Linked DNA regions of Caenorhabditis elegans. The protein of the gene in region 1 purifies or fractionates together with the protein of each later gene. This does not show direct contact. Each region holds a gene or a part of one and is shown on either strand. Other genes may lie near its edges.

Region 1 (4,317 bases):
TAGAAGCTTTTGGTATCGTTGGCAAAATTATAGTTTTTTATTATTATTTAGGGAATTCACAATCTATTTCTGAAAATCCTGATCAGTTGCTGATTTGATATGCGATGTAAGAAATAAGAAACAGATATTGTAAAATGGGGAATGTGTAATAAACTCGGGGCGAACTATTGTTCGCCCTCTATTCAACCCACATTTCGCGCACACTCTGCAAAAGATTCTGGGTCTCCGCGAAGCGCGTGATGTAACTGTCTGTGTCTATGCCTCTCTGTGGGTGTTTGTATGTCTATCTATCTACACGTTCTTGCTTCTCTACCACATCTTATACTTGTGTGGTCTGCCCTCGCGAGAGTGTACGCGGCTCGACGGGTGTGTTGTGGCCGGCGGCGGCGGACGACGACCGCGACGCAGTATGCCGTCCATTTTGGTGTTTGAGAGTTATATACACAAATACAAATAACAAATAAAAAGAAGCGCTCATAAGGAGTGGAAGACTAGACAAAAAGTAAAACCATAATATTACTGTAAAGAATTTGGACTAAAATATATAAATCGGTATAAAATTACGTTAAATCTAAGTTTTTCTTGAAACAAATTTCTGTAAATCTAAATTTTCATTTTGAATTTTTTCAGTATAAAAATTGCCATCCACTTAGTTTTGGAAGTATTTGTAATAGATAACATTATTGTTCATATTTAAAAAAAAATTATCTTTGCGCCTGATGGAATTCTGATGTGAAAATGTTGGAATCTATCAATCGAGATTTCCTTTCTTTAACTTTTATCCATCCGTTCATTTGGCAAATGTGGAAACCATGAATCAAACAATAGAAATAAAAGTATTCTAAGCATTTCCGAAGAAGATGTGAATCTCAACTCAGAACATATCTTTGTGGTCCTGGGTACAATTTCAGTGCACAACACTTTTAAACACATTTTTGTTGATTTCTTAGCTTGTTGTTTGCCAGAAAGTTTTCAAAAATTAAACAAACTTTTAGATGTGTTGTAGTTTTTTAAACAATATTTTTCAGCCGGGCAAAGTAGGCAAAATGTTTTTTTTTTTTATTTTCTGCATATTTGGCAAACCGCCAAATAAAAAACTTGCCGATTTTGCTGAATATCTGAAACCCGTGGTTTTTTTTTTTCATTTTTTCCAATTTACTAAATACAAAATCGAACCCATCCTTTGAAGATCCTATAATTAACAAAAAAAAAGAAAGGAAATCTCTGAAAAATATAAAAAGAACACGAAGAAAATGTCAACACTATACAGTTGTTGATGGTTTTGCGTATAACAGCTGTTTTTGGTTTCAGCTTAAACTAGGTATGTCTTTGAAAGTACTTTTAAAATTATATATAAACTTTCAATAACTTTAAAACGTTGTTAATGATTATTATAATTCCTGTTTATATGTCAATCGTCAACTTTTTAGTGAATCATTACAAAAATCAGAAACAAATTTAAGATTTAAAATTCAGATCATTGCATGACAATGTTGCACAATTGCCCCACTTCCGATGCCAAGCGTTCACGAAGCATATCCTTATCGTCGCTGTAGAGTTATATTTTATATTCGTCTGTTCCGATCCGCTAAGGGATAAAATCAAATGGGCGATATATTAGTTGAAGGTGTGTGTGTACACTCAGGACGAGTGGGAACGATGTCAGCGCCGTGTAGCATCGTCGTCACTGAAGTCGAAGAAAGAAGACGGTGTGATGTGCGGATCGACGGGAGAGAGAAAGGGGCAAAATTGGAGAGAGATAAAGAAAAGTGAAACGAACTGGCATTTTCTGGCGGAGGATTCGTTGGAAACTAGGAGAGATGAAGAGGCGCGGACGACAACACAGTCGATAGGCGATGCAGTCCGTCCGGTGTCCGCTGCGCACCATACTGATCCACACTTTCTCCCAAAACATGCGGGTCTATTCGCTTATACTTCTCTGTTTCATTACTTTTGTCCATGGGCAAGAAAAAGCTGAAGTGGATATTCGAGTTTCAGGAGCATGTTCGCCAAGTAAGTTCCAAATTTATATCTCCCTTGTTCTGAAAAGCAAACCTAGATTCAAATTTCAGTCTACTTGTCGAGGAAAGGAATTGATATCAACAAGTACCGACCGAGTATTCGTTTCAATCCAGACAAGATTCAGTTAATTCCAAAGAATCCAGTCATTCCAGGGTGTATCAAAATTAAGGCAGAAGGTAGGTGAAATTTGCAACATCAATTCTGAACTAAGAAAATAAAAATTGTTTAATTTAAATTTGAACTAGAGCTAATAAGTATGCTGCAAGTTTTAGCAAAAAAATTCACCTGGTTTAATTTGAGTCTCAATATCATGCAAGTAAACAAATTTGGCATGCTTGCTTTTTATTTAAAATCAGAGGATTAAAGGAGGATACGTTTCTCAAGCACGGTAGGTCTAGGATCTATATTATGGTGCTCCTTCTTTGGGCTATTGTTGAAGCCACGGAAACTGTGAAATATAATCCAGTCATGAAATACTTCACTTCCCAGTACAGGCTGAATGAAGCTAGAGGGCAGGATTTGAACTTGTGACCTCGTGATTCCTTGCGGCCATCACTACCGACTGAGCTATCCCCGCCAAAATTGTCAAACTATTTTCCAAAATTCTTAAACCGTTTAAATAAAATTTACAGGAGTTGAAATCACGAGACCAACAAAAAATTTGATTGCCGAAGTTGAAATGAGAATCGGAGGAACTCCGGATCCAAACAATCCATCCCTTCCATGCTCGAAAAAAATCGACGAGAAGGTGAACCAGTGCCCGTGCGCCAAATTGGAAGGATCTTGGTAAGTTTGTGAAGCATATATTTAAACCTCAAAATTATTATTATTTAGCGTGTTCTGCGACTTCTGCAAGCAACTTAAGGCTCAAACGTCCAAAATCACACCTAGCAAGCTCAGCAGACCTGAACACAAGTTGATCGATGAGGATTGCAAGTATGCCATTTTGTTTTCACTCTCATTACTCGTGGTGTGAATAGTACAAGTTTTTGAACAACATCCGTTCCTCTACGGAAAGTGAAAGCTAGAACCGCGACGGGTTCGGATGTACTTGTCTGTTTGATTGATTTGTGATTTGGCAAAACTGCGGGTCTCTATAGCCTCTACAGTCTCGCAAAAATCATGTAATCATGTTTTCACTCACATCTATCACAGAAACATTGATCAATTAAAATATGTGTAATGAGTGTTAAGTTAAACATTTGAACCAAAAAGAAAAACGTGTGACCAACCGACGAAACGAGTTTGGTTTCAGATGTGGTGATATGCAACCAGGACTTTACGATATTGAGACAGAAATGTGCACACCAGAAATGGACGATTTCAAGGATTACATTCCACCAGAGATTCAGAACAACATCCTTGAAAAGAAGCCTGTAAGTTTTTCTCCTTTCTTCAATTTTCTTTATTTTTATTTTGTTAATCAATTGTAATATTCAGATTTCCATGTTCATCACTGTATATTTAATGGATATGGAGCCACGGTCTTCCAAAGAATCATATTTATCTGCGTTCGGAAAAGCAATTCTGCAAAGAAGAATGGCTCAGAGCACTGTTGCGTGCTTTTTACTTGGCATTGATGTCAAGCTCGCTCTTCCGTCGTTTGACTAAATCGCATATCTATTTATTTTTTTAATAATTTTTGCCTTCCAACACCTCCTCATTTGTAGCTTGTAAATTTCATCCGACTGCTCTTTCACTGTACGCCGAATAAAAACTATGAAAAAGTGAAACAAAAGTTCGTGACATTAGATGGCAATCGAATCGAAAACATCTTCATATCCTGTCTATCCTGTTTCTTTTCCTAGTGATAAGATTGAAATAGAAAGGCGCCGGTTCTCGAGAAGAAGCTGATAAACTTGCAATTCATTGTTCGCACTCTACACATGGAACTCTCCTTTCTAATAATATTTTGGTGTTTAACGTTTTGTGTTAAATGTGTAGCCTATACTTCTGATAAGAATTCAGAAGAAGACAACGGTTTCTACAAGTTTCTGTCGGATTCTTTTCAGGTATAATAACTTAAAATAATACTTGAGAGTTTACAAGTTCAAAAAACAATTATTAGATTTACTGTCTCCAATATTATTGTGATTTGGGATCCTCAATACCCGGAATCTCAACTTTTTTCTTGAGGTCCTTGTAAATGCTTAGAAACCATCTTCAAGATCTGTTTCGTAACGTCAATAGTGATGCTTGCCAAAAACTTGCCTTGACTTGCTAAAAACGGGAAAACATTGTTAATATTTAAAACTTATCGATAGCTTTTGTAGCATATTTAACGACATTTTGGAA
Region 2 (4,358 bases), on another chromosome or scaffold:
CTCACTACAATTAACATTATTTTTCAGTTTGAAGATTCAGTTTGTCTTGCTTATCCTGAACACAAACGCCATGAATATGATGATTCTCTCCGGCGACTTTTGAATACATCGTTTGAATATTCAAAATCTAGAGAATGTTTCCATGATGCTAATTTGATTCAAGAGAAGTGTACACATCTCAGAGATTGTTGTCCGAACTTTGATGAGTATGATTTTTTGAGTTTCTGATTCTCTTTTAAAACTGAATTTTCAGATGCCGTGAAGAAACTTTCGAGGTTGAAGTGGAAAGAACAATTATCAGCTTGACAGCTACAATAAATGAGATCAAACAAGAATGTGTTAAGAGAAAAGCCAAAGAAGCTGTTAAGGTATCTTTTTTCTATATATTTTCGTTTGTTTTGTTATCGGTGAACTAACTCTCTTATTTTTCAGAATGTTGTTCGACAACTCCTTCTAAATACAGATGCTGGTCAAAAACTTCAAGAAATTGCGCAACTTGGTTTAGACATTTCTCGGGGAGCCCGAGTTGTTCGAATGGCCAAATACAGAGCATAATCTATAAAATAATCAAATAATACTGTTTTACATTCCAATTAACTTTGCCGGTTATCTCACTGGTGCCAATTTTGTTTATTGACTTTCCGGTTTCGCTTTAATCATTTCATTCATATTTTCACGAGTAATTTAATAATTAATAACTTATTAATTTTTAAAAAACAAATGAAATATTTTTTTAAGGTTTCGACTTATGAGTGGGAAAAGTTTCAGGAATCGATAGCATATTATTTACAATTTTCTAATATCACATTGTTTCTTTTCACTTCCACCAAATGATAATTCCAGTACAGAAAAGAAGATGAACAGTAAATCGTGTTCTATTCTCCAAATGGTCACTTCCATTTCTCTCTTTCTACAGTTGATACATTGCATTCCACACTTGTAACTGAAATGACATGCTAAATGCCAAAGAAAAGATGAATGGAAATGCCAAATGAACGTTCCCCTCACACGCCTTCTTTCTTCACTACTTTTTCTTTTCTTTTTCAACCATTTTGTGACGAAGAACTGTTTTCGAAAAGAAGTATTAATTCCTCAATTTACTTCGGTAATGAACTTATTAGTAACACGATAAGTTTTGGTTTTCAGGACAGTATGCTTAAATATCTTTTCTCGTTTTTTCTCGGGGCAAGAAATTTGAAGAAATATCAAACACATATAAGTTAATATGGGTTAGTTGAGCACTGAAGATTATTTTCATATTGCTGATGTATCTTCCAAAGTCCTTTCAAACCACTTTCAAAATATTTTTTTAATTTAATTTATTTTTTCATATCTTTTCACCACAAAAAATGGAGAGCATTGAAACTTTTCAGAAATAACTAATGAATTAAAAACTTATAATAAACATTATAATGTTGATTTTTAACCTCTCTCGTGAGAATAGTTTCATGAAAAACTATTTCATTTGGAACGGAAATGTTTTACATTTTTGTATTCCAGAAATATTAATTGTTTTTATTGTTCCATTAATCAAATCACCAATGTTCAAAATATTTTGAATATCCAATTACTTATCGTTCATCTCACAATTTTCACCGGTCTGCACCCTAACTCGAACAAGTTTAATTTAAAATGGAAAAAAAAGAAAGAAACGCAGAGAAAACAATGTTCAATTAGCACTGGAAAAGATCGTTTTCGGTTCTCGGCACGACGCTCGTTGATTGACGATGTTGAGGTGATAAGTGATAAAAAAGAGAAAAAAGAAGGCTTTTCCTCTTTGTATTCTTCTTGTTTCTCATTCACTCACTCACCTTCTCCCTCCTTTTACATTCGATTTTTTCTGCCAACCTTGATTAAAAATCTATCCCTTTCACTAGTTATCTATCATATCAACCATTTCTAGTAGTTCCTTCTTTACTTTTTCCCGTCATTCTACCAATTACCCTTTCGTTTACTTTTTCCATTTCTTTTCATAAAATCATTTTCAGACTTTTCAGAGAAATGTCAATACATCAGACGTCATTTCTATTGTTCACACTTTTCAGTTTATTATCATTTTCAATAGGTTTGTTTCGTTCAATCAAAACACAATAAAATGCCATAAAAACAGGTTCCCAGACCCATATTCAGTTTACACTAAACATAACAATACCCTTTTCACGTATATCTTTTTTTCAGCAGCCGACACATGCCGGGACTTTGATAATAATTGTAGAGATTGGATTACTGTCAATCCAAATGCATGTGATTCAACTGAATATATTAAAAGAAGTTGTCTCAAGAGTTGTGGACAATGTGGAGAGGTTGATCCCAGTAGGTTGTTTCTTTATTTAAAAATTAAAAACTTCAGCTATTACACTTTATTAAAACACTAATGATAGTTTTAAAAAAGTGGAATTCTACATAAAAAATTTTCAAGAAATGACGGAAGAATTTTCACATTAGAAATTCAATAAAATTGAGCAAACAATCTGGAAAAATATTTGAAAGGGTAGTATTTAACATAATATTAGACTTCAAAATAGTAATAAACATTTAAACTATTATATTTTTAAATTTGCAATTTCTTGTGGTTCTAAAACTTCTAAAAACATACTATTATTTCAGAATACGATTTACGTCGTCTTTCTCAGGAACTCACACCAATTGGTTTCCTAGTAGGGAAATGGAGATCTGAACATGGAGGAAAAGTTCGTTTTTGAAACTGTCCAGATTCTTAAATTTAATAAATCTAGGCAATCTTCCCAACAATTCCGAAATTCACATTTGGAGAAGAAATCGAAATTTCAATTCCAGGCGATGCAATGCAATCGGCTCAAGCTCTTAACTACACGTAAGAAAATAACTGAAATTATGCCATGCCTGCATGCCGCCTATTATTTGGTGGTTGTACGAGGCAGGTAGGCATGTTAACGTTCACGTGAAAGGTTTATTGGAAATATTGCCGTTTAGATGTTTCAGATTCAGAAAATATTTAAATTTAGAGCGTTCGCATGGAGTGTAGAAAAAAGAGATGAGAAGAATCCAAACAGGTTTTCATATGTCATTTTTTGTTTTTATTTATTTTCCAAAAAAACCTATTTTTTTGTTTCGAACTGTTGAGTGTTTTGTCTTGGGATTTTATTTTTGATTCTGTCAATTCTGGTGGCTCTTCTATTTTTTTCGGAAAAGTGTACTTGTAAAAGGGAATTGGTGACAATAGAAATCTCAATACTATCTTCAAAATGCTCCGAATTTTCAGAGCATTTGCCTGGTCGATAAATGATAAAGATGAGTTGCACAGTGAATATGGATATATTTCTGTGAAACCAAACACAAAAGAAGTCGCACTGACAACTGTAATGAATAATGGTTTTGTGACAGTCGAAGAAGGTCCAGTCAATGGAAATCAAATTAGATTCCGGCTTAAGGATATCGGAAGAATTAGTTTCAGCAGAGATTTGCCTGTTCATGATGTAAGTTTTTAGAATAGTGTTTTTGTGTGTAGTCATAACAATGAAAACCAACAACAAAATTCAAAAACGCTCTAATTTCACATAATTCAATCAAACTCAAAATTTAAAATATTCAGCTCGTCCGAGAATGGACTCTTCTGGATCGATCAACACTTCAAGCCCGTCTGAACATGGAGACATTAACACATGGAATGCAGGAGCACACATTTATTCGTTACAACAAAATTGAGCCATAAACTGAAGAAAAACGTGTTTATCTCTTTCTATTCCACTTCTAGTCAACTACTTCCCACTCAATTGATTCCCCCTTTCCCCTTAAAAATAAAAACTCTTGCTGCTTTTTATGAGTTTTCCTAAAAGCTGCTAAATATGTATATAGCACCATCTCAAGAGTCACTGTATAATAGAATAGTGAAAATAAATGAGCTGTGAAATGAGCCAAAATGAAAAAGAAAAAGAAAGCAAATGAAGTGAGAAAATGGATGCAAGAATTGACACTTTTATTGGCAATTCATGAGGATTCTAACGATGAGTGAAGATGAAAGAGTAGACTAGCGGAGAATAAGGTTTTAGAAGAAATTTCGATGGGAGTTGATGACATTTGTGATTTTTAAACTTAAATTTTAACTTATCGCTTAGTGATCTTTAATCATAACCGACTTTAGCAAGTTCATGAAAAAAGAAACTTTCGATCGGCATTCGATCATAATTTTTAGACATATTATAGAGCATTCTCGTGTCTCCCCATAGTTGTAAATATGCAACCAGATGTCCGTTGGTGCAATTTAGTTGCTCATCAAGTTCTCTATGTCCATTTCTATTCTGTTCAACCACTTCATTTCCCCTTTTGACATTTTTCTATCTGTGAGAGCTTCATCTCCCATCGTTTCCTCTTAACGTCTT

The links. Proteins that work in one complex are often made in the same cells at the same time.
Region 2: the proteins of C26B9.3 (region 1) and C15F1.1 fractionate together in Caenorhabditis elegans (co-fractionation; one large-scale study listed by BioGRID). This does not show direct contact.

The regions. Positions count from the first base shown.
Region 1 is NC_003284.9:5,336,431-5,340,747, forward strand, and holds C26B9.3 (uncharacterized protein), read left to right. Parts: upstream 1-1,888; 5' UTR 1,889-1,913; coding exon 1,914-2,013; intron 2,014-2,072; coding exon 2,073-2,198; intron 2,199-2,654; coding exon 2,655-2,808; intron 2,809-2,856; coding exon 2,857-2,958; intron 2,959-2,968; exon of another isoform or gene 2,969-3,108; intron 3,109-3,277; coding exon 3,278-3,398; intron 3,399-3,462; coding exon 3,463-3,633; 3' UTR 3,634-3,752; downstream 3,753-4,317. Other genes in the region: C26B9.2 (uncharacterized protein), read left to right, coding at 3,909-4,034.
Region 2 is NC_003280.10:6,987,892-6,992,249, forward strand, and holds C15F1.1 (ShKT domain-containing protein), read left to right. Parts: upstream 1-1,988; 5' UTR 1,989-2,001; coding exon 2,002-2,065; intron 2,066-2,178; coding exon 2,179-2,313; intron 2,314-2,365; exon of another isoform or gene 2,366-2,470; intron 2,471-2,607; coding exon 2,608-2,690; intron 2,691-2,735; coding exon 2,736-2,833; intron 2,834-2,984; coding exon 2,985-3,032; intron 3,033-3,241; coding exon 3,242-3,455; intron 3,456-3,571; coding exon 3,572-3,691; 3' UTR 3,692-3,796; downstream 3,797-4,358. Other genes in the region: C15F1.2 (uncharacterized protein), read left to right, coding at 28-206, 254-368, 433-555.